3 linked regions of the Mus musculus genome follow. The protein of the gene in region 1 purifies or fractionates together with the protein of each later gene. This does not show direct contact. Links are inferred from orthologs where the notes say so. Each region holds a gene or a part of one and is shown on either strand. Other genes may lie near its edges. The genes, in order: Ddx21, Rsl1d1 and Dkc1.

Region 1 (9,839 bases):
GCAAAGTCAGTCCTTGGAATCATGGCAGCAAGCTGTGTTTTCTTTGTTGGTCCATGGTAGAAGGCCTGCTCACTAACTTGCACTGAAGAGCTTCCCTTAAAGCTGCTGCACAGAGTAGAGAGGTGGGAGGAGAGGATCAGAGATGGATGCAGAGTCCATCACCCACAGAGAGGGAAAGAGATGGGTGTTCACCCGTAGAATTAGTTCTGTCCCCAATCCCATAGTCTACGGATGAGAAGAGCATCAGACAATCTCCCATTGTGGCTCACCCTCAGCCTAGAACATAACTCCTTAGAGCTATTAATCCGGGAAACAGGGTACAGAGTAAAGAGGTTTATTTGATAGATTTAAGGAAAAAATTACTTAACCTCAGTAGAAACAATAATCTTTGAAAACCATGAAATTGTGTTTTTTTGTAGGGAATTAAATTTAAACGGATAGGTGTTCCTTCTGCAACGGAAATAATAAAAGCCTCCAGCAAAGACGCCATCAGGTACAGTCTCTACCACCACCAAAGTCTGTTTTGATGCTGCTTCTTGGACCTTTAATTTTATTTATTTATTTATTTATTTATTTAGTGGTTTTTCGAGACAGGGTTTCTCCGTGTAGCCCTGGCTGTCCTGGAACTCACTCTGTAGACCAGGCTGGCCTCAAACTCAGAAATCCGCCTGCCTCTGCCTCTCGAGTGCTGGGATTAAAGACGTGTGCTACTACGCCTGGCTATTTTTTATTTTTTAAGTGCATATGAGGAGTAACATGGGACTGGAGAGATGTCTCCATGGTTAAGAGCACTGACTGCTGCTCTTCCAGAGGGTCTTGAGTTCAATTCCCAGCAACCACATGGTGGCTGATAACTATGATCACCCAAGATTTAGTAGGAAGTTCGTTTCTACTAAAGTGTATAGTTTGAATGGGTAGTAAGTAGGCAAGGAAGTCCATAGGCAAAGGAAGTATTAGGAGACCTTGGGAGTCTTCCCCAAGCCGCATTTTTTTAAATTAGGTATTTATTTCATTTACATTTCCAATGCTATCCCAAAAGCCCCCCACATGCTCCCCCACCCCCTCCCACTTCTTGGCCCTGGCGTTCCCCTGTACTGAGGCATATAAAGTTTGCACGACCAATGGGCCTCTCTTTCCACTGACCGATATATGCAGCTAGAGACACGAGCTCCAGGGGGTACTGGTTAGTTCATATTGTTGTTCCACCTATAGGGTTGCACATACCCCCCAGCTCCTTGGGTACTTTCTCTAGCTCCTCCATTGGGGGCCCTGTGATCCATCCAATAGCTGATTGTGAGCATCCACTTCTGTGTTTACTAGGCCCCGGCATAGTCTCACAAGAGACAGCTATATCAGGGTCCTTTGAGCAAAATCTTGCTGGCATATGCAATGGTGTCAGCATTTGGAAGCTAATTATGGGATGGATCCCTGGATATGGCAGTCTTTAGATGGCCCAAGCCACATTTTTAAATTGATTTTATGGTAGCATGTTTTCCTTAAGGACCTGTGGTACCGTGGGATACTGTGGGATACTGACTAGTTAAGGAAATATGGGCTTGGTGACCAGGAAGAAGAGGCAGATTCTAGTAGTGGGTAAGAAATGTTCTTTAGGATATCAGCCCTTTGCCAGTGCAGCTTACCTTACTTAGCATACCGATGTGCTGATTTGTTATGGCCAAGACAAAGCCAGCCTGCACACATACGTGTTCTGTGATCTGCTGTAGAGCACTTGTGAAAAGTGTAGAATGTAACTGGCTATAGTTTTTTTTTACTTTTAAAAGTAGCATCACATACTTGCTTGTGATCGGTGTTTTGATTTGAGTTAAATACTTTATAATCTCTCATTTAAAGGCAGTATGGGGGCTGGGCATGGTGAAGCATGTCTGGAATCCCAGCAGGAACCATGAGTGTCAGGCCAGTCTGCTCTGCACAGCAGGTTTTCAGGAAGATAAAATAAAGTCCTGTCCCAAAGGGTACAATAAATGCAAACAAATGCACTACTGGAGCCCCATTGTGTCTTATAGTGAGGCAGAGTCTTATATCCCAAGAGTGCCTGGAGCTCACTGTAGTAGAAGATGACCTTGAACTTAAGATCCTCCTGCCTCTGCGTTCTCAGTGCTGGGAATGTGGCAGCACCTCCAGTTGATGAAGTGCTAGGGATTGAACCCAGGACTTCTTCATGCCAGCTTAGCCACACCCCCAGCATGCTGAGGCCCATTCTAAAGCTCCTTTACTTTGTTACTGAAGTGTTGTCTTATTCTCTCACACACAGGCTCTTGGATTCTGTGCCTCCCACTGCCATTAGCCATTTCAAGCAGTCAGCTGAGAAGCTGATTGAGGAGAAGGGAGCTGTAGAGGCCTTGGCAGCTGCTCTGGCCCACATCTCAGGAGCCACATCAGTCGATCAGCGCTCCCTGATCAACTCGCAAGCAGTAAGTAAGGTTTTGGTACTTTATAAAAGGACTTAAGCAAAACTAGAAGAGTTCATTTGAACCTCCTCATTGGCTTCCCCCTTCTAGAGGCACGAAGGCACTGGCTGTGTTTTGCCATTTTCCTAGTTAAAGACAGAATCAATAGGGGCAGAAGAGATGGGTGTTTCCCGGGGGTGGGTTGGAAGGAAAAATGACGCTGACTGCTATGGGTAATGGTTTACTTCAGTTTTCTTTTAAATGAAGGGCCAGTGACACTGGGCAGGTAACAGCCTGCCATCAAGCCTTACAACCACCTAAATCCCATCTACGGGATCTTTATAGTGGAGGAAGAACAGATTTCTGACCTGATCCCTGGCTTCTACACGTGAGCTCACAGACAAATGAGAGAGTTAAAATATGCTAAAAAGTGCTAGAACGAAATTAAAATGCACTAACTTGATAGTTACAGTGGTGAATTCCTTTGACACTTTGAAATCTGATGTGTTTATTGATTGTAGCCCCATGTGGCATAAGAAGTTCACTGATGGGTCGATTCCTCATGCTCAACCCCCCCTCCAGTGCAGATCCTTTAGAAAGCTAAGGACTGGGCACTGATACTGGTGCTCCCAACAGTCCTCCTAGGACTGCCCCAGTCCACTGGCATCCATTGGGTGGCTGGGGGCTGCGCTGTCATGGAGAGCTTCTCTAGAAATCCTTCCCTCCCCAGAGCAAGAGCTTTTGCCAATTGGTTTTCAAATTTGTGTGCCTTTCTTCCCCAAGGGCTTTGTGACCATGATCCTGCGGTGCTCCATTGAGATGCCCAACATCAGTTACGCTTGGAAAGAACTTAAGGAGCAGCTGGGCGAGAGCATCGATGCCAAAGTGAAGGGAATGGTCTTCCTCAAAGGAAAACTGGTGAGTGCCAGCCCTCCGGGACCTCAGCACACCTCAGGGTTAGCCTGGGCACCAGGTGTGTCCTCTCCCTGCCTGATGGGGTGCTGATCTCACTCTCCACAGCTGTCCTCAGCACTGTCTTCAGCCTAAGCTGCACACAGTGCCAGGCCCCGTCACCCCACTGCTTCCCTGCCGATGTCACAGAGTAGCTTACTTTGGTATTTTAAGTTCAAGTTTGAAACTTCTAGACTGAGCACCCAAACATTTAAGCTTTTGCTACCTTATGGGAAATGAGAATAAAAAGGGCAGATAAGTATTATTAGAGAAATAGTTTTGACTATGGGATCCCTCTGTAGTCACACAGACACACACGTGTACATATGGAAAACCCAGAGCCCAGTATTAGGTAAAGATGTTTGTGAAGTGGGTGATGCCTGATCAGAGAAGCCATGAGCCATCTTCAGAAGCTGAGGATAAACTTGTCCAGCTCCCCATTGCCACCCCTAGCACCCAGCACTACAGGATACCAGACACACCACCTTATTCCCACTGGGAGCTGACCTTGGTCACTGTCTTGGGTTTCATTGCCCTGCAAGGACACTATGACCAAGGCAATTCTTATATAAAGGTGGGCATTTAATTGGGGCTGGTGTACAGTCTGTTAGCATCATGGTGGGGACAGTGCTGTGTGCGTGCAGGCAGACCTTGTGCTGGAGGAGCAGAGAGGTTGAAATCATGATCCAAATGCAGCCAGGGTGAAGCTAACTTCTGTAGCAGTCAGGAGAGTCTTCTGCACTAGAAGGAGCATGAGCACTAGGAGGCCTCAAAGCCTGCCTACACAGTGACACTTTCTTAATAGTGCCACTTCCCATGGGCCAAACATGTTCAAACCACCACAGTCACTTACAGCGTCTTCCACTCCACGGTGTCCTTCACTGAGCTCAGGCTCAGCGCAACTTCCCAGTCCTTACTTGTATGGTAGAGTTCTTGGGGTATAATATTTTCTCCCACTCTGATTACTTAAAATGGACAGCCTAAGCCTGTGACCTACTCTAGGGCAAAACCTCTCTGGATACCTGAATGCCCAGTGTTCTGGAGAAGCCCACAAATGCCAGAGTCCTTCAGCACCTACAGACACCTGTGCTGTGGCTGGGTAAATTCATGGGTGGAAAAGTATAGCTCAGCTGTGCCATTACAGGAGTCATTTGGTGCTGATGGCACCTTCCCCGACTGATAAGGGAAGTGCTTATCAAAGATCTGACAATGTAGACTAGATAGGTCCCTTTTCTAGTGTTCTCATAGGAAACTGAATTGTGAAAAACTAGAAGACAGTTTAATTTCTGCTTTTCATTGTCATCCTGACTCTGGGTTAGCAGGGTACACTAGCCATGAATAACTGCTTGAGTAGCTGCAGACCCTTCCCCTCCTGCTGCTGTTCTCTGGAGCTCGAGTTAGCCATGCTCTAGGGTCCGTTGCCTCAGGGCCTGCTACTTTCTTTGTATTTTGGTTTATCTGTGTTGGTTGGATTTAACTCTTCCTCCTTTGGTTTTTAGGGGGTTTGTTTTGATGTCCGAACTGAAGCAGTCACAGAAATACAGGTATTTTCTTTTTGATTTTACTGTTTGTAGACCATACAGTATTCATTCTGAAAGCAGAATGACAATGTGGGCTGCAGAGATCTGTCCCCCTGTGCTGTCGTGACCTTGCTGCTCGGCCTGCCTTGCTCCTTCCAGGACCTGGGCCTCAGCCTGCCTTGCTCCTTCCAGGACCTGGGCCCAGCGTCTGCAGCGCTGCTCTCTGCAGAGCGCTCCCCTGCACACTTGCTGCTGCTGTGTTGAGCGTGTACCTCAGACAGATGCAGCAAACCCAAAATGTAGAATGAGGACTGGCCTTCAGAAGGCTTGTCCCCACACTAGCCACATGGCTTTGGTACTAGCAGCTTTTGAAAACACTTAACAGCTTGTTCCTTAGAGACGTGACAATTAGTTTTTCATGTGGCTTTACCAAATTTAATAAAACCATGGAACAAACCTTCTACCCACAGGAGAAGTGGCATGATTCGAGACGCTGGCAGCTCACCGTGGCCACCGAGCAGCCAGAGCTGGAGGGACCTCCAGACGGATATCGAGGCCGCATGGGTCAGCGTGATGGCAGCCGTGGTGCTTTCAGAGGACAGCGGGGTGGAAGCAGGAACTTCCGGGGACAGGGACAGCGAGGAGGAAGTAGAAACTTCCGAGGACAGCGACCAGGAGGTGGCAACAGAGGCCAGAAGCGGAGTTTTAGTAAAGCGTTTGGTCAGTGAGTAGAGGCCAGAAGGGACTGTTCCCACTGTGGACCCCAGGGTCCACCCTGCTGACAAAGCCCGAGTGCTTCCTTCCTTTTTTTACCACTTCTCAGCGCCCCCTTTCTTGCAGAGAGGCTTCTGAACTGTCCACTAACCATCACAAATTCTTCATTTTGAAAAAGGATAAGAATTCATTGCATCGTTTTCCAACATACTTTTAGATTTACAAAGTAAAACCAACCATGGATCTGCCTATCTTGGTGTGTCGATCTTGTAATTTTATCTTTGTGTGTGTGTGTGTGTGTGTGTGTGCACTCACTGGGGCCTAAGCTCAGAACCTCACACAGGCAGAGTATACACACGCCCTGCAACTAAACTGCATCTCTAGTCCCTATACATGTGTCCTACTCATCCTTCAAAGTGAGTCCCTAGGGGATGCCTCAGTCTCTGGAGGATTGCAAGAGCCAGGGCGGAATGTGTTTGTTTGCATTCCTTGGCATCCTGGACTCTTGCAAACAATTGCTGTGTTCATATGTGTCTGCTGAGGTTTGATGCTGAGCAGAGCTTTTCAAGAGCCGCTTCAGACTTAGCTGATTGAATAGTTTGTGCCCGGCTCTGGGTGTTGAGCGTAGAACAGACAGCAGATTCACTCCAGTGTCTTCACACACTCATTAGGTGTTTTCTGTTCCAGTGAAGTCTCCAGACAAGGGTATATAGAAAGACATTTTTATAGGACCCAGTGTAAAGTTCAGGCCCAAATGCCTAACATGTCTAGGTGTTTTTGTCAGTAATGAGACTGGATAAATGGTATGTAAGTGCTTGCACCCCACTTTTGGAAGATTAATTTACCAAGAAGCATGGGGTTCAGTTGGTGTTGCTGACAAATATCTCAAAAAAGCCACAAAGGTGTCTTTGATCGTGACAGGTGAGGAGGTGGAGAAGCGTGCTTTGAGTGGTGAGCAGGTCCTGACTCGTGGCTCCTGGAGGGGCTGTGTCTGCTAGTGTGCAGTCTGGGGCTGTTAAAGGGGCACAGTGGGACAGGCTTGTTTTCAGTGGCTTAGATCTTAAACCACAACGTAAAATCTATTTCTGTTAAGCAGCTTCTCTGAAAAATTATCACAGCTCAGAGAGCCCTTCTATGACAAGCTGTGCCATTTTAAGCTCTTACTTTGAGGGAACTGAAGCATAGCCCCTGCCTACTGCTGGTGTTCTTTATTTGGGAATCATCCCGCCTAGCACAGAAGCTTGAGTGGTGGGGTCCTCTAGCTGTACTAGAGATTCTGCGCAGGGCTCTTAGAACAGGCTTGGGAGGAAAGTCAGAACCACGCACTGTCATTTTGGTTTTTTTTTAATTTTTCTTAATTGTTTGGATCAACTAAGACCTTCATTTTAGTATGGTCCTTACCTCCTAACTGGCCTTTACCTGGCATTAAAGGGCTCTGATAACCAATCAGCTCCCGGTAGCTGAAGCAGTGCCCTTTTTTCTATTTAAATTCAGTTTTCCCCTTGAACTCTGACCAGATGGCTCATCCTCTGTGCTCAGGATTTGTTGGGTTTTGTTTTTCTTGTTTTCTTTGTTGATAACTGTAGCTTGTAAGAAATGTGGGCATGGTTTAATGAAGCATGTCACTGTTGGGATAAAAGAGTTTGCCAGTTCAAGATGATGAAAGGACATACTGGCTCTGCTTGCAGGAGGAAAGGCTAAAAGACATTTTGAATTAATGGGTTACCCTATAGAAAAATGATCTGTCATAAACCAAACAGTGAAGGGGAAGAAGGGAAGAATTCCAATTGACACAATTTAAATGAAACATGACTTTTCAAACAAATGAAGTTTCTTTTGGATTGCAGAAACTAAGCAATATTTATATGTATAATTCAACTATTATTTGGTTTAAATGGGCTTGTTGGGAAATGTTATCATTTTTACTATTTTCTACAGAGAAAATATTTTCCACTTTATCAAATAAATCTGGACTTTGAAATTACAGCCTGTTTTTATGTTCCAGCTGTCTATGTATGTTTTCCTGAAACTGTACATAAAATGTTTTTACATTAAAATGAATTGCTGTATAAAGTACTGCATTATGCCATAATAAAGATACCGATGCTTTATATTTAGTTCTTGGTGGCTTTTATTTTATAGCAGTGACTGCTAGGTCTGTAAATCTAGTAGCTTGGCTTGCCTTTTGTGTATACTGCATTAAAGCAGATCAGGTTATAACGGGGAGTTAGCCTTGGCTAAATTGTCATAAAAATGAACGCAATCCTATGTTAACATACCTTCACTGTCTTCAGACACACCAGAAGAGGGCATCGGATCCCCCATTACAGATGGTTGTGAGCCACCGTGTGGTTGCTGGGGTTTGAACTCAGGACCTCTTGGAAGAGCAGTCACTGCCATCCCCCCAGCCCTTCAGTGGGCCATTTTCTACAGGTTCATTTCTTGAATCATCCATTCAAGTTTTGTGAATTGCTCTCTTCCCCTAACATCCTATGTTTACCTTTCAATATGTATGTACATACATTTTAAGACTTAAAATAATTTTACATTTAATAAATGTTTTCAAGACAGATCTCACTGTGTATCTCTGGCTGTCTTGGAACTATGTAGACTTGTAGCACAACCAATTCTGAGCTTATCCCTGACCAGCTTACAAATAAGTGAGACTCACACTATGGTTATTTTATTTGGCTTTGACAATTACTGGGGGATAATCTCTAATCTATTTTTCCAACTGCTGACCTGGCTTCTTTCCCAGCAGTGTTCCCCCAAGTAATTGCTGTTTCTCCTGCCGTGTGCTCATGGTCCATCTCTCCTGGCTCTTGTTCTACTCTCTCCAATGCTCAACAAGGAAACCCACCTACCTCTGATCCCTGCAGTTATTAGCTGTAGCCTTTGTTGTTTGTTTTTGTTATTTCGAGACAGGATTTCTGTGTAGCCCTGGCTGTCCTGAACTTTGTAGACCAGGCTAGCCTTGTACTCAGAAATCCGCCTGCTTCTGCCTCCCCAGTGCTGGGATTAAAAGCGTGTGCCACCACGCCCGGCAGCTGTAGCCATTTTTTTTTTTTTTTTTTTTTTTTGGTTTTTCGAGACAGGGTTTCTCTGTATAGCCCTGGCTGTCCTGGAGCTCACTTTGTAGACCAGGCTGGCCTCGAACTCAGAAATCCGCCTGCCTCTGCCTCCCGAGTGCTGGGATTAAAGGCGTGCGCCACCACGCCCGGCTAGCTGTAGCCATTTTTATTTAACCAAATTAAGTTTTAAATTAAGGAATAAAGTTTGTACAACAAAAGCTGGTAAGCATGAGAATTTAATCATAGGCTACAGAATTTAGCATTACAATACATATCAACACTGGCCCCTGTGTCAGCCTGCAGATAATTGGCACCATGCCTAGCTCAGAGCCTTTATAGAATTTTCAGGGACTGGGCGGTGGTGGTGTGAGGTGGCTCTAGTAAGTAAAGGCTGCGGAGGCTGAGCCTGAGGATCTGAATTTGATCCCTGAGACCTGGGTACCTGGGTTGTAGTTTCCTACAACTATAATTTTTAACTGTGATAGCGTAATACATTAGTGGTGAAAGATTCTTGCCTATGAACTTGAGCAGTTATCGAAAGATGTTAGTGTTAAATTTCATTTAAGCTAGGGATTGACTTTACGATAGGCTAGTACCTTACCCCTAAGAATCATTCTGATTCTGAACATTTTTGTATAAACTACATTTTGGGATGAAGCAGGAGAAGCCATACTGCTCAAGGGTAGCAGCGGAAGGCTCTGTATTCCCTGACAGCTTCGTTTCCTTGACGACGGCTGTTGTGGCGACCAGAACATCCTCCCATTGGCTGCTGCCGAGCGTCTAGCGCTCCCCTCTACCGACTTCATTGGTCGGCGCTCCACAGTCACGACACGTCGTAAATGAAGTGTCGCAACGCGGAGGCCTCCAGTGGCTGCTGGTCCACGGACGGGGAGGCGGCCGTCAGCTCAGGCCGCGATGGCGAACGCTCCGGGGCCAGAGATCCGCGAGAAGTTCCAGGCAGCGCTGGCCCTGTCGCGGGTGGAGCTGCACAAGAACCCGGAGAAGGAGCCGTACAAGTCCAAGTACGGCGCGCGCGCGCTGTTGGAGGAGGTGCGCGCGCTGCTGGGCCCGGCGCCCGAGGACGAGGACGAGCCGGCTGCTGACGATGGGCCGGGCGACCAGGCCTTGGGCGCGGGTGAGCCCCGGGAGGCTGAGGGCCCCGGAGCGCAGCGGGC
Region 2 (10,563 bases), on another chromosome or scaffold:
AATTAAGTTTCATGATTAAATACACATAAGGTAACATGCATACTTGACGTCAAATCCACAGTTAGCCGATTACAGGAGCATAAAGGAACTGGCAGAGCTGAGAGCCTGTTGCTGTGCACAATTTAAATGTTTGCAACCTGAAATCAAAACTGCAAAACTGAGCTTCTTAGAAGATATGTAAAAAAACTAAACATATACCTCAAGTGGTACAGAAACACAGACTCTCCAGTCTGTGCCAGTACCAGGATGTGCCTGCCATCCCAATGTTAGTGTGTTCCTATGGATGCTGGGAGAGATGAGACAGGACAAACGCCACAGGCCAAGGCAGTACCCTCCACACCGACGGGAGGTAGAGGCACATGGACACTGCACTGAGAAGGCTCCTCAGTAAAGCAATGCTCTCTTCTGGGACTGATTTTTAAAGACTATGTGTTACTCTGTTCCCTAAAAATAATGGGAAAGTTCTGTTTTAACCCAAACAAAACCAGAAGACCCAGCACCCTGCTGTGCCTCAAATGGGTGCCACAAGCATTCTGCTCTCTGGTAGGTCTGGGATGTGACTCACTCTAATGGCCAAAGTCAGAACTCCCCAGTGTGTGCTCTGAATAGTGCTCCTCATGTGAGGCAGGGGGTGCTCTACCAGACAAGCTGATAGTGTTATCTCATTAGAACTGTCTAGTGTTTGAGCCCCGACACACTCATCCTACGAGCTTCTGTTGATTCGTGCCTGGATCGTTCCCAGGGATTGCAGGGAGTCTACTGTCATGAATATGGTGGTGCCACTAATGCTAGCATCACAGGTGAATTGAAGGGAAGTGGCCAGAAAGGGCACGAGTCACCCAGAGCCACGGAGTGTCTGCAGAACCATAATGATGATCCTTTAATATGGGATGAGAAGCCTTGCTCAGGAAGGCAGACAACCACATATGGCTTCAAGACCAAGGTCCTCTGGGGGGGCCTTGAGCCCCTCACCCACAGGCCTGGGGCACTGGCACCAGCCCCAGGAGTCCACAGGTTGACTGGGTGGTGGCATCACCTGCGCTCACAGGCACAGTCACAGCTTGTCATCGGTCATCTCTAGGAACTGTGCACACACGTCCAGGACACACTTGCCCTTAGGACTGAACAGGAACTTGTAGTAGCTGCCATCTGCACAGATAGCGATGACTGCATTGGGCTCTGTTCCAAAGGCACAGATGCATGGCGAGCCTGAAGGAACCTGAAACTTGGAAAAACTCCATTTGGAGCTGAAGTATTTTGGAAGGAAAGTGGCTGATGCCAAACTATACTGTTATTGCTTTTTGGATCTTCGGCTACAAAAATGTGCACAGTGCCGTGATCACTGGACACACAGATGAGAGAAGCATCCTGATTGAAGTTGATGCAATAGATATTGGCTGCTTGAGATCCTCTTCGTAGCTCCTGGATTAAATGCCCCAATGAAGTATCAAATATTCTTATAAGGGTCCCTTTTTCAGATGCAGTTGCAATTCTTGTTCCCTGTAAGTTGAGAGCAATACAGCTCAGGACACCCTCATGTGCGGGAATGTCCTCTGGTGGCTTTTCAGTGTTGGCAGGTCCACAAACTGTACATGGCCAGTGTGAGTGTCAGGGAAGGCAAGAAGGGAGTTGTTACTGTTGGGACACAGGACACAGAGGCCTTTAGGATTATAGCAGGTTTCAAAGACGTGCAACTGGTAGGGATTGTGTGTGAGTGTGAACACCTTAATCATGGAGTCCAGAACCACCACAATTCTATCTCTGCAACTTGACAGCCTTGACCTCTGTGGAGAATTCTCTCAATGACTGTCTTCTTCCTCAGATCATCACCTTGTTGGGAGGGTATTTCAGTTTTTTTTCCACCACCAACTAAAGCTAAATAGTTACAGCAAAATAACATTTCCACATGGCCAACTCCTCCTCCTAAAAATTCTTGTTTCTCTTTTTGAGTGGATCAGTATTATAGACTCGGAATCTATTTTCCATTCCACATGCAAAACACCCGTGATCCTGGTTGAAGCCGGCGTACAGCAGCCCATTGCCATGGGGGTTACATGATAGGAGGGTCTGTGAAACCAGGTCGAGCGGTGCTAGGGCCACCGCGGTCGGAAGCCAGGGTCTTATTTCTTTTATTTACATGTTCCTGATAGCCTAGGCCAAGATCTTAAGCGAGAATGGTAAAAAAACCATCCCTTGAGATTGGGTCACTAGTATGACCTTATTCCCCAGGGAAATCAATTCTTGACTTTTTATATCATTTATAAAATGTAGTCTCCCCTCCCCTAGCCTGAAACCTGCTTGCTCAGGGTGGAGCTTCCTGCTCATTCGTTCTGCCACGCCCACTGCTGGAACCTGCGGAGCCACACACGTGCACCTTTCTACTGGACCAGAGATTATTCGGCGGGAATCGGGTCCCCTCCCCTTTCCTTCATAACTAGTGTCGCAACAATAAAATTTGAGCCTTGATCAGAGTAACTGTCTTGGCTACATTCTTTTCTCTCGCCACCTAGCCCCTCTTCTCTTCCAGGTTTCCAAAATGCCTTTCCAGGCTAGAACCCAGGTTGTGGTCTGCTGGCCGGACACAACAATAAAACAGTTATGATAGATTAAAAACTTTCCCAACAATAAAATTTCATATGGCTACACCTGTGTTATCAGAGGTGGGTTTTGGTATATGGTAAAGAAAGTCTTAATTAGAAAGAATTAGTTTAAATTTATGCATTGAAGATTTATAAAAAATCAGGCACTAGATGTTGAATAATTGACCATATGGGGCTGGAGAGCTAGCTCAGTGATTAAGAGCACTATCATAAAGATTAACCTGCTCTTGCAAATATGCCAGTAGCCTTGAATGACTGCCTCACTGAATACATCCTTTTAGAATTGTTATATTTTGATGATTTATATTAATAATGATGTTACCTGTTCTGTATGTGATTCACTGAATACATAGTTTCAGAGTTGTAATGCTTGGATGATTTTTGTTGGTATTTGTGATTGATTCACTGGATACAGTTTCTAAGAGATGCAATGTTTGGATTTTAATGTATAAAATCCCCTGCTTGAGAGCTCCAAAATACAGTCGGATTCAAATTGCCTCTGTGTTTGTCTGTCAACACCAAATCCTTACCCACCTTCTAGGACCCCCATACCTGACTGGGGTGGTTTGTGGCAGAGAGCCAAAATGATGGTCCTGGGAATTGAACCTGAGTCTTCTGTATAGCAGGGCCACTTGAACTGTGTCTCCTGTCCCGGAGTTGGAAAAAAAAAAAAAAAAACCTCATGTATATGAGTACGCTATCTTCACGTACACCTGCATACCAGAAATGGGCATCAGACCCAATTACAGATGGTTGTCTATGTGGTTGCTGGGAATTGAACTCAGGACCCTTGGAAGAGCAGCCAGTGCTCTTAACCACTGAGCCATTTCTCCAGTCCCCCTGGAGTTGATTTTTATGTTTCAATCCCTCACCAACCACTCAGGGAATGTTTGCAGAAATTAGCTGACCTGCCCAACTGGAAAGCTGCTCCAACATGTCTTCAAAACTAGTCAGGTGCTGGGCGTGGTGGTGCACGCCTTTAATCCCAGCGCTCGGGAGGCAGTCAGATTTCTGAGTTCAAGGCCAGCCTGGTCTACAAAGTGAGTTCCAGGACAGCCAGAGCTATACAGAGAAACCCTGTCTCAAAAAAACAAAACAAAACAAAACAAAAAAACCCCAAAAAACAAAAACAAAAGTAGTCAGGTGAGATGTGAAATACCAACAGTACAGCGACTTTACACAGAAGGGGATGTAATAGTTTAATTTTTAAAAAAGCAAACATACAGAACCATCAGCAAATACACTGAACAATTTAAAAATATTTTATTGTCTCAAACCCCTAGTTTGTACAATAGAAATATTAAATTCAGAGGCACCCACAGAAACTTCTCAAAAACCATTTAAGTCCCAGACTCCTTGTTAAAAAGGCAGTGATGGAACCAGCAGCAGAGTACCTTTTGTTGGGTGGGCTTTGTTTGACAGTCCTGGGTACTGAAGCCAGGATATTGCATATGCTGGCAAAGTGTTATACCATCAGCCCAGGACTTAAATCTGGCCTTTAAATACTGAATCCTGCTTTATCCCAGGTGACCAAATGCTTTTGTAGAAAATAGGCTGGCCTCAAACTCACATACATCTGCCTATCTCTGCATTCCACAGTGTGTGAGTGTGCCACCACACCCTGTCTAACTATTCTGAAAAGCTCTAGGTTAACTCTGATGTCCTTCATGCCAATGCACTAATTCTAGTTTGAGTGGGCCGCCTTGGTTTTTTTGTCTCTGGGTGTGTTGGAAGCCTTCTTTCCAGATTTCCTGGGAGTAGAGAAGGAACTGGCCTCTGGCTTTCTGAATTCCTGAACATCCTTTTTTTGCTTCTTCCCTGAGGTCCCAGGGGCGGAGGCTTCTGGAGTCTCTGTAGCCAGCAAGGCCTTCCTTTTCTTACCCTTAGGTGTACTTGGATCAGATTTCGATTTTGGAGTTTTCCCTGTGATATTTTCTTGCATCTTAAAAAAGAAAGAGAGGAAATTAAGTCTAGAACAATAAAGAACAATATCTAACAATCAAACCTAAGGAGCCACTACTGTGCTTGCAACCCTGCGTGTATTCAGTGTGGTAGAATGAGGGGCTCTTTCCAGCACCAGACATATTTTCTTTCTTTTTGAGACAGGGTCTTACCTGGTTGGAACTCATCATGTATTCCAGGTTGGGTTCAAAGTGATAATGCTCGTGCCTCAGCCTGAGGTTCCAGGCACATGTGTAGCCTTTAGAGTATACTCCTACTTCAATATTAGAAACATTATACCAGTAGGTTGTATTGTGCTAGCAGCAGCCACACTCTGTGAGAAGTCACATGGACTGATAGATACTTTGTATGTCCTGTTAATGACATCTACATGAGATACACTTGGAGAAGATGCCCCATTGTCAAGTAGCGCAGGCTTTCAGATTACTCAAGATGCTCAAGTAAGTAAACCAGTAACTGCCTTTCTGGTTCCTAGAATTAACTCTCAACTTCATTACTTAGCACTTTTTACTTTACTTTTCCCCCTCCGAGACAGTGTTTCTCTCTGTGTAGCCCTGGCTGTCCTGGAAGTCACTCTGTAGGCCAGGCTCAAATGCAGAGATCCTCCCACCTCTGGACCACAAGTGCTGGACCCCACCCGCATCACCTAGCAGTTTTTGCCTGAAACCCAGCAGCTGCTATAAATATAACCACTATTAATACCTTTACATTTTCTTTATCTGGAGTCTCTCCTATTGGTACCAGTTGTGGAATTGCTTCTTCACATTCCTCTGTAACTTTCTGCTTTTTGTGCGCCTTGTTGGTCTTTTTCTTCTGGGCTCCTGGGCTCTTCGCTGGAGCACTGCTAGCTAACCCACTCTGAGTTAAAAGAGATGTAGCCTTCTTGGACTTCTTCCTTAACATTTTGCTTTCCTTCTTCAACTTTGCATTTTCACGCTTTCTTTTCTTTAGTTCCTACCAGAACACAAGATAAAATTTTAGTAGGAATCATTCACAGAAAACAGATGGCACAGGTTTAGAAGCTGAAGCCGAGGATTCACAAGTTCCCTGAAACATCTTTGACCCACGCAAACAGTTATACCTCAGTCTGTTTGGAGGGTCAGAGGTGTTTCAATCTGTAGCTCAGAAAGGCTTGCCTTGAAGATAACCCTCTCCACCTGCCTGTCATGCGCTACAATTACATGCTCAACACGTAGCTTTCTATTTTGACTTGGACAGGGACGGACGGACGGAGACACACACACAGACAGACACACACACACACACACACACACACACACAGTGTAGCTGAAAGCTGAAAACAGTACCCGTCAGCATGTTAACTACCTGGGAGGCTGAGGCAGGAGGATGACAACCTCAAAGGCCAGTTTGAGCTATAGTTATTGAAGTTTAAAACTTAGACTCTGTTTCAAACTAAAAGAGAGACGTGTTATACCACATCTGCTGTGTCCAAGGTCCCATACTCAATACCTACCATGAAAATGAATGTATGCATGCAACCAAGAGAGGTGGAAGGTAAGGCAGAGAGCAGGCCAGCCTGGTCTACAGAGTGAGTTCCAGGACAGCCAGGGCTACACAGAAAAACCCTGTCTTTAAAAAAAAAAAAAAAAAAAAAGTCTACGGAATCCTTTCCTATTAGGAGCTACACTCCAGAATAAATATAAGCAGGAAGCAGAGCCCATGGCCACTAAGCTCAATTTTGGTTTCAATCATTACTTAGCAGAATGCCTTTCACTCTCTTCCCAGCAGTAGAATACTAAGACAATATGCAACTCCTAGAAATAAAGAAAAAAAGACATGAAACAAAACACAGAGATGAAAAATTCAGTAGAGACAATTAGCATGGCCAAAGAGAATTCAAAACAACCCCACTCTAATCAGTTATATGTCTCCTCTTCATCACCCTTCATTCTGTTTTGGAAATATCACCTGTAGTATTAAGCCTGTAAGTGTGTGTGTGTATCAAAAGTTGGGGGTTGGGGAGAGGACTCAGTAGGCCAAGTATGCAAACATGTCAGACACATAGAAAGACACAATGTTTGGCATCTGAATCTTAATTACAGGCCAGAATCTTGGGAGCTCTTGGCCAGCTGGTCCAGCCAATCAGTGGCATCCATTGAAAGATCTTGTTTCAAAAACGACAATGGATAGCAACAGCGGAAGACATTCAATGTTGTCTAGCACACAAAATGAAGATGAGTCTTGTTAGGGCTGGAGAGAAAGCTCAGTGGTTAAGCCATCTGTTTTTTCAGAGAACCCAGGTTCAATTCCCAGTACCAAGACAGCAGCTCACAACTCCAACTCCAGAAGATCTGACACTCACAAACACATATGCAGTCAAAACACCAAGGCACATAAAATAAGCCTGAACACCCCGCTTAAGATTGAATCTATACCTTAATTTATTAATTTATTTGAAACAGGGTCTTATAGCTTAAGTTAGTTCTGAACTTGCTGTGATCTCTCTTGGCTACACATTATTAAGCCCCACCCAATATTATAACTTTTATACTAACTTGCTTCCTCAAACTACGGAGGGAAACAGCGTTTTCATCCTGAGATGTGACAAATGAAGAAAAGATGGGCAGGGAAACCGACTTCTCAGTTTTCAGGAACAACAGTTTCACACTCTGCCATTTCTGAAACAAAGAAAGAATGTCATTTATACACACTCTGCTTTTTTAAAATGGAAAACATGCACTTGCCATACTGTACCTCTGGCAATTTTTCTGAAAGCATTTCTGAGACAGCTAGGATGTTGTCAACGATGTGCTCAGTCTCCATTCCAGTGTGACCAATACGGATCGTACTAGAATTTAATAAAGCAATATAGTTTTTAATCTTTAACTTTTTTATTTTAAAACTCCACTCCCTGAGGTAAAACACCACCATGCTGAAAGAAACACCCACCCACAGGTTGGACCACAAGATGGCTCTGTGGGTAAAGGCACTTCCCACACAAGCCTGACAGCCTGAGCTAAAGCCATCAAGTTCAATCCCAGTGACTTGAGTGTAAAAGAACTGACCCTGGAAAATGCCTTCTGACACCTACACTCAAATACACAATAGTAATAAGACAAAACAGGAAAACCCACATTGACCCCAAAACTGTTCTGGGAAGAAATCACTCCCAAAAGCCATCGACACCTCCTAGTTTGCATGTCCTATCCAGCTGAGTCCTTCTGAAGTAAGAAGTTCTCGTCTCTCATGGATAACTTATTTTTAGCAGAGACCAAAGCATCTCTGCAGTTACGGACAGGGCCCAGGAAATGAATGGGAAGCCCAGTAGGGCTCCTATAGCACTGGAGCTACTCCCTCACCAGAGGCTCACTGCGGAGGCATCTTAGGGAATAGCAATTCCCAGTTTTTTTTTCTTTAGTCAGACATTGGCTGGCTGGCTACTCTGTATGTGCAGGTGTGTAAAGCTGTTTGCCCAGGTGAAGAAAAGAAGAGGAAGAGACAAGACAGGAAGCCATTGTGCTCGGCAAAGCAAACGGAAACAATAACTCACCATGCAGTACAGGCTACCCTCAAACCAGAGGACCTCTTAGCCCAGGCTCCCCTGTGGTCGGATAATGTGAGCCATTATATTTGGTATCTCTAACCTTCTCTGACACCAGCCTATAACTCAAGGGTAGGAGGCAATGACAGGCCCAATGACAACTCCTTAGTTATTTAACTGAAGCAATCAAGGGACTTCCATCTTGCAGACAGCATGCAATGGGAATCTATCTCTATTGCTTGATATGCTAAGCCTGGACCCACACACTGACCCTATCTTTGACCACTTAAGGTTGGAAAGCAATTATTATCCTGTTTTTAAAGCTGGGTGTGGTGGCAGACAAGCCTTCAACACCAACATTCAGGGTAGAAGTCAGAGGATCTCTGAGTTCCAGGCCATCCAGAATTACAGTGAGACCCTATGTCAAAACAAGAACTGCGCTGGAGAGATGGCTCAGTGGTTAAGAGCACTGACTGTTCTTCCAAAGGTCCTGAGTTCAATTCCCAGTAACCACATGGTAGCTCACAACCATCTGTAATGGGATCCAATGCCCACTTCTGGTTCATCTAAAGACAGTTACAGTGTACTCATATAAATAAAATAAATCTTAAACAAACAAACAAACAAAACCCCCAAGAACTGTTATTTTAATAATTTATTTTGAGACAGGGTCTCAATATAGTCTTAGCTGGGCTGGAACTCTTTATGTAGACTAAAAGTTTGCTTCAGACTTAGATATATCAGTCTCTGCCTTCTCAGTGCTAGGATTAGAGGGATGTGCTGCCATGCCTGGTTTACATGTATGTGTGTCTGTGCATGTGAACATGTGCCTGCCCTTTTATTGTTTCCCTTCAGAGATGAGGACTGAACCCAGGCCTTAAGCACTCTACCACTGAGCTAAATCCCAAATCCTGTAGGTGTTCTTTAGGGCCAGAGACATTCAATCCCTAGAGGAAGAATTACAGGTTGTTGTGAGCCACAGGTACTACAAGTGTTGGAAATCATACTTGGGTTCTCTGAAGAATATATGAGCCATTTCTCCAGTTCTTTTATTTCTCTAGTGTGTGTTCTGTATGTCACAGGACAATTTGCAAGTATTGGTTCTCTCCTTATACTAGTGTTGGTCCTGGGAACCAAACACAAGTTGTCATGCTTGGTGGATAGGTGTCTTAAACTTGAACCACCTGGTTGACTCCAAAGGTTTTTTCCTTAGCTTAGGTGTAAGGCTCTACCTAGCTCAGGATCCTGGGTGAGGATGAACTGAAGGAATCAATGTGTAGCTACTTCCTCTCAGTTGAAACATTCCTCCACAGACACAAAACCAAACAGGCTCCACCCCAAGGCTATCTGAGCTCCAGGCACCTTCTAGGGAGTTACCAGCAGCTGCACAGAACTCCAGTGGTACAGTTTCCATGACAACCCCATGTGTGGGTGGGGCCGGGGCTGTAAGTAACACCATATGTGCCACTCTAGGTCAGCACAACAAACTCACTGTTCATCAAGACAGACCTGTACAATCACTTCCTTCTGCCCTACACAGGGTGAACACATATCTTCACCTCTCTCCAGGAAAATCAGACAACAAAGACAATGAACTCAGTCGGGCTGCGGTGGTGCACGCCTTTAATCCCAGCACCTGGGAGGCAGAGGCAGGCAATTTCTGAGTTTGAGGCCAGCCTGGTCTATAGAGTGAGTCCCAGGACAGCCAGAGCTACACAGAGAAACCCTGTCTCAAAAAACCAAAAAAAAAAAAAAAAAAAAAAAGACAACAAACTCATTAATGGGGGATTAAAATTACTTCTAAAGCTTTTTCCCCCCAGAAGACTTATTAAAAACAAAACATTTAGGTTTTAATAGAAGGTCCTAGTTTCTTTTTTTTTGGGGGGGGGGGGGCAGGGAGACAGGGTTTCTCTGTATAACCCTGGCTGTCCTGGAACTCAGAAATCCACACGCCTCTGCCTCCGGAGCACTGGGATTAAAGGCATGCACCACCACACCTGGCTAGAAGGTCCTAGTTTTATTAACAAGATCCTTAAATGAGGTAGGGGATAGGGGGGAGAGGAGAGGATTACAAAACCCTGACATGTAAAGTTTAAAGAAATCTCATATAAATGTTCCTTGTTACCTGCAAGAACCACGCTTAGAGATGTTTAAGACGGTCCCTGTGATACATCGGTTAATCTCTTTGGACAGATTCTTTGCCAGAAGGTTCACAGACACTGGAACTCTATAAAAGCACACAGGCATCAGAACATTGGAGACACACAGAAACCCCATACCAGTCAAGTCCAGTCACTGCAAATAAACTCACTTCTTTCTCTGATAAAAATGCCTCCCTATGTGTGAGGGCAAATGCCGTCGAATTCTCGCATCAGTAATAAAGACTTCAAAGCTACCCAGGAGGCGGAGCTTGGCTTCATAGGCTTTATATTCTGTTTTTAAAGTTTTAAAAGGGATAATCTAGAATACAGAAACAAGACCAAAACCATAAAATGTTAA
Region 3 (11,045 bases), on another chromosome or scaffold:
TGTAGAACTCTCAGCTCCTCCTGCACCAAGCCTGCCTGAATGCTGCCATACTCCCACCTTGATGATATTGGACTGAACCTCTGAATCTGTAAACCATCCCCAAATATATGTTGTCCTTATAAGCGTTGCCTTGGTCATGGTATCTGTTCACATCAGTAAAACCCTAAGACATGTAAAATAAATAAATCTTTAAAAATTAAAAATTAAAAAAAAAAGTTCATTCTGAGTTTGAGGCCAGCCTGGTCTACAGAGTGAGTTCCAGGACAGCCAGGGCTACACAGAGAAACCCTGTCTCGAAAAACCAAACCAAACCAAACCAAAACAAAACAAAGAACCATGATCCAATAAATCCTTACTTGTATCCTAGGCTGGCCTGATATTCACTACGTAGCCCATACTAGCCTTGAACTCATGTCAATTTTCCTGTCTCAGCCTCCCACATGTCAGAAATAGGCATGACGCACCATTGCCTGGCTCCCTTCACAGTCTTTTGTCAGAGTACATAATTTGAAAATATTTCTCCCAGTCTGTAGCATATTTTATTGTACTCTTAACAATGTGTTTTGTAGAGCAAAAGGCTTAAATTTTAATCAAGTCCAGTTTATTATTAGTCTATTTGTTTGTTTTTGGGGATTTTGTTTGTTTTGTTTTGTTTTGTGATTTTTTTTTTTTGAGAGAAGCTTTCTCTATGTAGCCCCTGGTTGTCCTGGAACTCTCATTGTAGACCATGTTGGATTTGAACACATAGAGATCCATCTGTCTCTGCCTACCAAGTGTTGGGATTAAAGGGTTGTGCTGCCACACCTGACCATAGCTTTACATTTTACTTGTTTTTTATAATTTTTATAAATTTTAAAGATTCATTTATTTTATAAATATAAGTATAGTGTCCCTGTCTTTAGACACACCGGAATTGAGTCCCACTACAGATGGTTGTGAGCCATCATGTGGTTGCTGGGAATTGAAATAAGGTCCTCTGGAAGAGCAATCAATGTTCTTAACTGCTGAGCCACCTCTCCAGCCCCCGTTTGTTTGTTTGTTTGTTTGTTTTGTTTCTTTTTGTTGTTGTTTTTGTTTGGGTGTTTTGTTTTGTTTTGTTGAGATGGTTTTTCTGTCTGTCCCTGGCTGTCTTGGAACTCACTCTGTAGACCAGGCTAGCCTCAAACTCAGAAATCCACCTGCCTCTGCCTCCCAAGTGCTGGGATTAAAGGTGTGCACCACCACTGCCCAGCTTGCTGGTTTGTTTGTTTGGTATTTTGTTGTTGTTTGTTTGCTTGTTTGTTTTGGGGTTTTTTTGGATCATGTTTTTATTGTACTACACTTTTTCTTTTCTTTTCTTTTTCTTTCTTTCTTTTTTTTTTTCTGGAGACAGGGTTTCTCTGTGTAGCCCTGGCTGTCCTGGAACTCATTCTGTAGACCAGGCTGGCCTCGAACTCATAAATCCACCTGCCTCTGCCTCCCAAGTGTACTACACTTTTAACATTATTAAAAGCTTACTATAAACTTTATTCATATTATGATTGTATCAGGAGACCACACAGTAACTAACCTATACTTCCTAGGTGTAGACTTGTGTAAATGCATTCTGCGAAGTTTGTCTAACAGCAAAAAGAAATTGCCGCATCAGTAAGTGATGATACATGATAACATCTCTAGCTAGTAAATGATTTAGTACCAGAAGGAGTCATCCAAGTTCAGTGATGATTTCTCAAATAACTGTGGGAATATTGTTTTGGAAACTGGCCAGATTGTGGTGAAAATAGTGTATAGAAATATAGTCTGGAATCAAAATCTAAAAGTATATATGTCTTAGTCAGAGTTTCTATTCCTGCACAGACATCATGACCAAAAAGCAAGTTGGGGAGGAAAGGGTTTATTCAGCTTACACTTCCATGTTGCTGTTCATCACCAAAGGAAGTCAGGACTGGAACTCAAGCAGGGCAGGAAGCAGGAGCTGATGCAGAAACCATGGAGGGATGTTACTGGCCTGCTCAGCTTGCTTTCTTATAGAACCAAAGACTACTAACCCAGGGATGGCACCACCCACAATTGGTCCTCCCACCCTTGATCACTAATTGAGAAAATGCCTTACAGCAGGATCTCATGGAGGCATTTCCTCAAGGGAGGCTCCTTTCTCTGTGATAATTCCAGCTTGTGTCAAGTTGACACATAAAACAATGTACTAGCCAGTACAATATACTAACAAAACACATACTTTTTGTTTTAGTTTGTTTTGTTTTCTTTTTTTGTTTGTTTTTTGTTGTTGTTGTTTTTGGTTTTGGGTTTTTTTGTTTGTTTGGTTTTTGTTTTTTTTCGAGAAAGGGTTTCTCTGTATAGCCCTGGCTGTCCTGGAACTCACTTTGTAGACCAGGCTGGCCTTGAACTCAGAAATCCGCCTGCCTCTGCCTCCCGAGTGCTGGGATTAAAGGGGTGTGCCACCACGCCCCGCTCAAATCAGGATTTTTGTATGTAGTCCTGGCTGTCCTGGAACTAGCTCTATAGACCAGTCTGGCCTTGAACTCAAGCTCTGCCTGCCTTTTGGATTAAAGGCATTCATCACTAAACTAGGCTAAAACACTTTCTTAAATCAATGCTTATTGCTGGGCAGTGGTGACACATGCCTTTAATCCCATATATATGGGATTATATATATATATGTATATATATATATATATATATATATAGTAGAATTTTATTCAGCCTTAAGGAAGGATGAAATGGAATTGAGCCATTAGCAGGAAAATTGATGAAACTAGAGAGCATCAGGTGTTAAGATACTTTTCTTGGCACACAGATAGGATGAGGGTCCATGACTAGCAACAAAAGTGTTAAATTTCCAAGATGGCTTGTTTTCTTCCTCACACTCCTGATTTGAGACAAAGGCCTAGCAGTATAAAACAAAAGCCCTGTAAGCCTTTGTCTTCCACCTGTGAGACCCTGCTGGTGAACTAGCTCAACAAATTCAAGGCTGGTTCAGGGCTTGCTACAAAACAGTAGGCTAATCAACCACTCTATCTTTCTTCAAACTGACCAACCCTAAATTAGGAGAGGGAAACTTCAGAGACTTAAATCCCTAATCTTTGAGAAGAGACTGGATTTTTTGTTTTCCTGTGCAGAGACACACATTTACAAACTCTTAAGATTGTTTTCAAACACATTTTTTTTTCTCCTGCAGCTTCTAGGTTTTTAAATTGTGTCCTGGGGCAAAGCAGAGGTTAACTCTTGGCTTAAGAAAATCTGTCTGAGGGGAATGAACTTTTCTTTCTTTGCTCTCATCCATCACTCACTCACTCACTCACTCACTCACTCACTCACACTTCACTGTTGAACCTTATCATCAACCCTTAAAAAGTATTTTAAGCATAAACAGGACCTAAGTTTAATGATACTTTCAGGCTGCTTATTAAGACAATCTAGGGAAAGTAGAAAAAGTTGGGACTTCAGGAAGCTACTGGAGAAATAGAGACATTATAATGATGGTTAGAGAAGTAAGAGTGAAGAAAAATCCACGGGTTCTGGAACTCTCCGAAAGCAAAATCTCTCCAAAAAGATTTGAGCATAGAGATACAGGACAAAGATGAAGGCACTGGACAAATGGCAAATGAGTACTTCAGATTTACTCACCCTATTAATTATCACTGGAGCATTATAAAATAACATTTAATTCTAAGGGTCTTATCTGTTAATAGTCAATTCTGATCATTACCACTATTAGCAAAATGAATTCCATAAAGACATAAAAACCCATTGTAAGTCATAGTAAAAAAGAAAAAAAAAACAGAAAAAAAAACTGAAAAAATCTGATTTTAGCATTGTAGATCAGAAGAAAAAGAATACTATTTTTTTTTTTTTTGTCAGCAACAACTAACTGGAAAACTATTGGCAAATGATTCCATCTACAATGAAGATAACTAATGATCTATCAAATTCACTAGATATGGGTTATGAATCCAGAAAGCCAAAAGAATCTACAGAGGTAGAATAGGAAACAGGGTGAAGGAGGATATTCCAGAGATCTTATCTCAAAGGCAGTAGCTCGGATTAACAGCCAGAAGACTCTACCCGACAAAAGTCAGGGCTCAATCCTAGAGCTGTTACTTTCTGGCTGTTACATTATCTCAGCCACTAGAGCTCTGCACTTGATGTCCAGGCTGTGGAATTCGAACTTAAGTGTACAGGTTAAGTGTGAAACACACTGGAAAAAAACTTCATACAGAAAAAAGCAAAACATTACACACTGCTGCATATTGCTTCCGTATTAAAATAACATGCCAGATCCGCAGGGTTATGTAAAATTAACTACCAGAATCACTTTCAACCTTTTTAGTTTGATGTAGCTGCTAGAAAATTTAAAAGTTTACACGAGGCTTGCACTCAATTCCTATTGGCCAATACAGCCATAACTTAATAGGAATTTCAAGGAGTAAACAGCTTTCACTTTGACACTGTGTACCTCAATGTCTTTTTCAATTGAAACTGACATGATAGCAAGCAAAAAAATGTCTGTTTGAGTTAAAACCAGCTATTTATAGCGCGCTAAGAAGGATGTCCAAGTGCTGAAGCTGAAGCTAGACTGGAGGAGGGTACAGTACAGCCCACCCGCTGTAGTCTGTTACTGCAGAAGCCTGGCCAAGGTTCCAAGGCGCTCTGCCAAGGGTTGGCAGTGTGGGGTTGGGGTGGGGAGGAGTGAGGGGGAGCTTCCAGGCGCATGTGCGGTCACACCTCCGTGGCCGAATCAGCCAATGGGATTGAGTAGACAGTCCGCGGGTTCGTAGAGATTCCTGCCCCCGTACCCCGTCCTGTCCTCCTCCTCCTCCTCCTCTTCTCTACGTCCCTTTTTTATATCAGCAAGCTAGGGGCGGTGCAACGGTGGGCGGGTCCTAATGACGTGCCCGGACGGGTCTCACACCATAGGAGTCTACAGTTCTTAGTTTGTGGCGGCTTGGGCGGGACGCACGCGGTGCAGTTCAAGATGGCGGATGCAGAAGGTAAGAGGTTCTGGTGGCAGTGCCATGAGACCTGTGGGGCCTCCTACACGACCCGGAGCTAGTTATAGTGAGATTGCATCGTGACCCGCGGTTCCCCGTGTTCCCGCTCGCAGTTTGGCTGTCTCACCACTCGGCTCTGGCTCTACCTGTGAATGCACGCATTCGTGACCAGTGACTAGGCTTCATTAGATCCTGGCTTCGTGCAAAAGATTCTACCAGGGTCCCCTCCCAAAGGCATCAGCCGTGGAGGCGACTGTGTCGTGATAAGGAGACGCGGTAGCATTTCTGCTGGCACTAGGCAGGACATTATGGAAATGAGGGTAGCAAAGGTGCAGAGCAAGGGTTAGGAAGGAAAGGAACAGAGGAGTTGGAAGCAAGTGTAACTCAGACCTACAAGAAAAACTTTAAGAGATCACAAGCCCCTATGGACAGTGCAGTGTTCGTTTGTGAAACTTTCCAGCCTGTGGACAAGTGCTTCCCTAAGTAATATTTGGCCTTGCCACAGCCACGTGGAGAACCCGAAGGGAAGCCAACACGTGCTAGAGTCATTTACCAGCCAAGCCATCCTAGTGTTTGGCCTCACAAACGTAAGTTCTCTCCAGTAATGTCAGACTTTAAAATGTTTTCTTTGTCCCGATTTTAGAGTTAATTTTAAACTTTGGTTTTAGTTTTCAAAATCTTCAAATATTGAGTTTGTTTCTTGTAGTAATTACATTCCCAAAGAAGCATAAGAAGAAAAAAGACCGGAAGCCATTACAAGAAGATGATGTTGCCGTGAGTAGAAATTTACTTTGCTTCGACTGATTGAGATAATTTAGTAAACAGCACATTAAAGGGGGAAAGTGCTTTTAAATATTCTCAATCAATATGCTAGTACTTAGTGGTCATTATGTAGAACGGGCAAAAACCTGAAATCATACAACTCCCAGAGAAATTTTCTAACATGCATGGCATGCTAAATGGTGAGCTATTGACCCTGAATTTCTCTGCCTTACTCCATCAGCAGACCCATGGTTTTGTTAAAATATTTGGATTCAACTTGATCTTCCTAAAGTTGAGTGACCTGGGTTTCAGAAATCACACCCCTCCTTTCCTCTTGTTTAAAAGGCATGCACTTCCAAAATTAAGCTGAGAAATGTTTCTGCTCTATTGAAGGAAATACAACATGCTGAAGAATTTCTTATCAAACCAGAATCTAAAGTGGCTCAATTAGACACTTCTCAGTGGCCCTTGTTACTAAAGGTATGTTTTCTGTGTATCAGATGGATGCTTGAATTCCATATTATTTCTAGTTAATGCTTACTGCTGGGGTGTTGTGTTGCATGCTCTTTATTCCAGTGGGCCAGGCAAGCCTAGTTTACATAAAGAGACCCTGTCTCAAAAAAGGAATGCTCACTGCCAGCATAGTTTACATTTAGAAAACTTTAAATGATGTAGCATGGAATATAGTATGTCACCAAAATGTCAATTGCTGTTAGGTTTTAGACAATTGCACTTTTGAAATCAACTCCTGTAGACTGTTTCAGTGCCTAAGAACATGGGGTTTTGAAGCCAGACGCCTTTGAAATAAGAGTATATGTGATCCTAGGCCACTTTTTTTTTTAACAATTATTTCTTTTATGTGAGTATATTGTAACTGTCTTCAGACACACCAGAAGAGGAGGGCATTGGATCCCATTACAGATGGTTGTGAGCCACCATGTGGTTGCTGGGAATTGAACTCGGGACCTCTGGAAGAACAGTCAGTACTCTTAACTGTTGAGCCATCTCCCCAGCCATGGGCCAGTCTTTTAACCTCACTGAATCTATTAATTGCTCATGATTATTTTCTCTTAGGATGATGTGCAGGGAGTTATAGGAGGTATTCTATGAAGCATGCTTAGTTTACGGTTGCATGTCATAGAAATTATAGGTTATTATTTAGGGATTTAATTAGTGATATTGAGTAACCCATTGAACTAAAATTTATAATTTTCACAAAGTGGATACCAGCTATAAAGTTAAGACATCTAGCAAAGAAGATTTTAAAATATAAATTTAATATAAATTTTTATTTCATCGATTACAGTGTGTGGGTGGGATGTTGGGGGTGCATGCTCCACATGGCATACGTGTAGAAGTCAAAAGATAACTTGCAAAGTTTGTTCTCAAGTGTCGTGAGTTACTAGTATTGCAGTTTTCCCTAGTATGTAGGAAGGCTTAGTAGTGTGTCATTAATAATGGGAACAACATACATTTATGGGCTTGAAGGGCTACAGTGGTTGGTGGTGTTATTTACTGACTCTTGTTTTACTTCTATTGATATGTTATTAAACTTATGTTATTGCTTTCTAGAATTTTGATAAGCTAAATGTAAGGACAGCACACTATACACCTCTTCCTTGTGGTTCAAATCCTCTGAAGAGGGAGATTGGGGACTATATCAGGTAGGCATGCTCTGTCCAAACTTAAAGTCTTTTGAAACTGATGCTCTCACTGAATTTATTTGTTATTCAAGGGAGTAGTAGTGGCAGCTTAGAACAGCTTTGTCCTGAATATATAACCTAAATATGTGATTTGCTTTTCTTTTTATGTCTTCATGCTATTTTTTTTAGACAAGAACAGGAGGTGATTACCTTTTTTTCTTCTATTTTAGGACCGGTTTCATTAATCTTGACAAGCCCTCTAACCCCTCTTCCCATGAGGTGGTAGCCTGGATCCGACGAATACTTCGGGTAGAGAAGACTGGCCACAGTGGCACACTAGATCCCAAAGTGACTGGTTGTTTAATTGTGTGCATTGAACGAGCCACTCGTTTGGTGAAATCACAACAGAGTGCAGGTTTGTAAAAGAGAGAGTAGGGGGCTATACTTGTTTCTGTTCTTGTTTCACTTCTACATTTTGGCTCTTAGAAACTATTTCTTTAGAAAAAATCTTAAAGCACGAGTGTGAATTGGTTTCTGTTGTTCTCTGCCAAAATCTGGTGGTTCTTTAAGAGTTTGAGACACTAAGCATGTGGATATTGAATCAACTGTCCTGTTCCTAGCGCTGCGGCAGGTCACTTGTATGCTTGCTGGTTCTGCTCTTTATTGTGTTCTTGGTTTTGCAGACAGGGTTTCTCTGTGTAGCCCTGGCTGTCTTGGAACTCACTCTGTAGACCAGGTTAGCCTCGAGGATTCACCTGCCTCTGCTTCCCAAGCGCTGGGATTAAAGGCGTGCGCTACCACCACCTGCCATGTTTACTGCTTCTTAACTCAGGTCATGTTTCTAATGTTTCTATCTCAAGTCTCCTTTCCCCATTTTCACCCAAGAAAATTCTGCTTAAAGTACAAGGTATTTTCCTGTTAGACTCTACAGTAGGTATTCCCTCTGTGTCTGCCATCACATTGAGCATTAAAATGTGTGTGTGAACGTGAGCGAGCTTTTTCCATCCTTTCCTTCCTTCCTTTCTTTTATTTTTTTTCCTTGGGCGGGGGGGTTTGAGACAGGGTTTCTCTGTGTAGCCCTGACTGTCCTGGAACTCACTCTGTAGACCAGGCTGGCCTCGAACTCAGAAATCCACCTGCCTCTACCTCCCAAGTGCTGGGATTAAAGGCGTGCGCCACCACTGTCTGACCATTCTTTCATTTTTGAGACAAGGCTTTTCTGTGTAGCTCATGTTGCTGTGGAAATCTCAATTATCCCATCTCAGCCTCTAAACTTCTGGGTTTAGGTTATAGCCATGGCGTGGGCTATTCCTGACCCAAGAAAATTTGTCTTTATTTCTTTTCTCTATCTACAACATTAAGTCTGTCAGTACAGATTTTACTGAAACAGACGTTGGATTCCCTACTGCTTCTGCCACTTCACGTGGCAGTGATAGAACATTTGTAAAACAGAAAACTCAGTGGCCACACCTGACTACTCTTTTGTCATTTTTTCAGGCAAAGAGTATGTTGGAATTGTCCGGCTGCACAATGCTATTGAAGGGGGTACTCAGCTTTCTAGGGTAAGTCTATAACTTGTAGGGAGCATACCTTTGATTTGGGTCTCTGAACTCCAGGAAAGTTCTCCTGGCTAGTGTCTCTTGTGCTCTTTGAATGGGCTGTCCTAGATTCCTGGGTGATGAATGACTGGTGCTAGGGATGCCTTCTAGCCATGCTTTTTCTGTGAAGGACATTCTGATTAGTGCTGAGCTATCCCTTCGTAGTTGAAAAAGAAGAAACTGAACTAATTTTATGAAAGAAAACTTTGTATTTGAATTATGTTCTTAAACTCCCTAAATATGCCCCTTTGTCTTATTTTAAAATGAGCCCACATAATTTTTTGTTTGTGCTTTGTTCTTAGGCCCTAGAAACTCTGACAGGTGCCCTGTTTCAGCGACCCCCACTTATTGCTGCAGTAAAGAGGCAGCTTCGAGTGAGGACTATCTACGAGAGCAAAATGATAGAATATGATCCTGAGAGAAGATTAGGTGAGTTGTTAGATATATATCAAGCTGAATTGCTTTAGATCCACAAGCAGGTGGGGGGGGGATAATATATTATCAGGGATTCTCTTGTTAGTAGTAGAAACTTTTGAGTACATTGTGTAGTCATACTCTATTCCCTATGTCTGTTCCCTATGTCTTTCTGTTAGTTTGTTTTAGATTAGGTCTCTCCATTAAGTAGCTCTGGTTGTTATGGAAATTGCTGTTTGCAATTCAAGCTGTCCTTGAACTCAATAGAGATCCACCTGTCTCCGCCTCTTGAGATTAAAATCAGCCTCCATCACGCCCAAGGTTTGAAAAGAAAATCATGTGTTTACTTCTCTCTCTCTCTCTCTCTCTCTCTCTCTCTCTCTCTCTCTCTCTCTCTCTCTGTCTCTGTCTCTGTCTCTCTCTGTGTGTGTGGTGTTTGTCTTAGGAATCTTTTGGGTAAGCTGTGAAGCTGGCACCTACATTCGGACACTATGCGTACACCTTGGCTTGTTACTGGGAGTTGGTGGTCAGATGCAGGAACTTCGGAGGGTGCGTTCTGGAGTCATGAGTGAAAAGGTATGCAGTTGTGGGACTAGAAGTTTGGGATTTGGGTTTTGTGGGGATTTTTGATGTTTTTTCTTGTGTTGTTTGTTTGTTTTATTGTTTGAGACAGAGTTTCTATGTGTAGCCCTCTCTGTCCTGGAACTCCCTCTATAAACCAGACTGGCCTCCAACTCATAGATTTACTTGCTTCTATCTCCCTGGTACTAGCATTAAAGGTGTGCGCCACTACCGCTGGACTTGGGGCTAGAGGGCTTTAGAAATCATACATAGAACTCTGTCTGCTTTCCATCTTAGGAAAGATTTCATATTGTTTAGTTCAGTTCAGGGCAGCTTTCATGTTCTGTGAATTAAACTTCGGGACATTGAAATTGGCAAAGAGGGCGCTGGGGAGATGGCTCAGCAGTTAAGAGCACCAAACTGCTCTTCTAGAGGTTCTGAGTTCAAATTCCAGCAACCACATGGTGGCTTACAACCATCTGTAATGGGATCAGATGCCCTCTTCTGGTTTGTCTGAAGACAGCTGCAGTGTATTCATATACATAAAATAGATAAAGTCTTTAAAAAAAATAAATAAGAAATTGGCAAAGAAATGATTGGGTAGCCGGGCAGTGGTGGCACACGCCTTTAATCCCAGCACTTGGGAGGCAGAGGCAGGTGGAGGCCACCTGGTCTACAGAGTAAGTTCCTTGATAGCCAGGGCTACACAGAGAAACCCTGTCTCAGGAAAAAAATAAGGAAGAGAAAGGGAGGGAGGGAGGGAGGGAAAGGAAGGAAGGAAGGAAGGAAGGAAGGAAGGAAGGATGGATGGATGGATGGATTGGGTAGAGAGTATTATTCATACATTTCTTTCCTATTCTACCTATGCCAGTCTTGCTTAGATCTTGAGAGTGTTAATGCAGCTTTAGAGCATTTGGCAACCATTTGTAAACACCTGGGTTCCATCCCAAGCAGTACAAAAAAAAAAAAAAAGGATTGACTGCTTAGATCTAATTTGTCAACATGTACAGATATTTTATGGAGATTCTAAAGACTTATGATGAGCCTGGACTAAAAGACAATTTATAGTTATATTCAGT

Evidence for each region.
Region 2: the proteins of Ddx21 (region 1) and Rsl1d1 purify together in Homo sapiens (affinity purification with mass spectrometry; 3 studies listed by BioGRID and IntAct, with this or other methods). This does not show direct contact. The link is inferred for Mus musculus from reciprocal best matches to the Homo sapiens genes DDX21 and RSL1D1.
Region 3: the proteins of Ddx21 (region 1) and Dkc1 purify together in Homo sapiens (co-immunoprecipitation; 3 studies listed by BioGRID and IntAct, with this or other methods). This does not show direct contact. The link is inferred for Mus musculus from reciprocal best matches to the Homo sapiens genes DDX21 and DKC1.

Annotation. Positions count from the first base shown.
Region 1 is NC_000076.6:62,578,118-62,587,956, reverse strand, and holds the end of Ddx21 (nucleolar RNA helicase 2), read left to right. Parts: intron 1-419; coding exon 420-493; intron 494-2,272; coding exon 2,273-2,432; intron 2,433-3,191; coding exon 3,192-3,326; intron 3,327-4,858; coding exon 4,859-4,903; intron 4,904-5,349; coding exon 5,350-5,607; 3' UTR 5,608-7,710; downstream 7,711-9,839. Other genes in the region: Kifbp (KIF-binding protein), read left to right, coding at 9,580-9,839.
Region 2 is NC_000082.6:11,189,196-11,199,758, forward strand, and holds the end of Rsl1d1 (ribosomal L1 domain-containing protein 1), read right to left. Parts: intron 10,525-10,563; coding exon 10,376-10,524; intron 10,292-10,375; coding exon 10,190-10,291; intron 7,372-10,189; coding exon 7,278-7,371; intron 7,202-7,277; coding exon 7,079-7,201; intron 5,517-7,078; coding exon 5,265-5,516; intron 4,543-5,264; coding exon 4,285-4,542; 3' UTR 3,842-4,284; downstream 1-3,841. UniProt on the Homo sapiens protein: Regulates cellular senescence through inhibition of PTEN translation. Acts as a pro-apoptotic regulator in response to DNA damage.
Region 3 is NC_000086.7:75,091,140-75,102,184, forward strand, and holds the start of Dkc1 (H/ACA ribonucleoprotein complex subunit DKC1), read left to right. Parts: upstream 1-4,714; 5' UTR 4,715-4,972; coding exon 4,973-4,988; intron 4,989-5,448; exon of another isoform or gene 5,449-5,493; coding exon of another isoform or gene 5,494-5,575; intron 5,576-5,694; coding exon 5,695-5,762; intron 5,763-6,095; coding exon of another isoform or gene 6,096-6,143; coding exon 6,144-6,230; intron 6,231-7,322; coding exon 7,323-7,414; intron 7,415-7,623; coding exon 7,624-7,808; intron 7,809-8,890; coding exon 8,891-8,955; intron 8,956-9,293; coding exon 9,294-9,420; intron 9,421-9,850; coding exon 9,851-9,981; intron 9,982-10,269; exon of another isoform or gene 10,270-10,387; intron 10,388-11,045.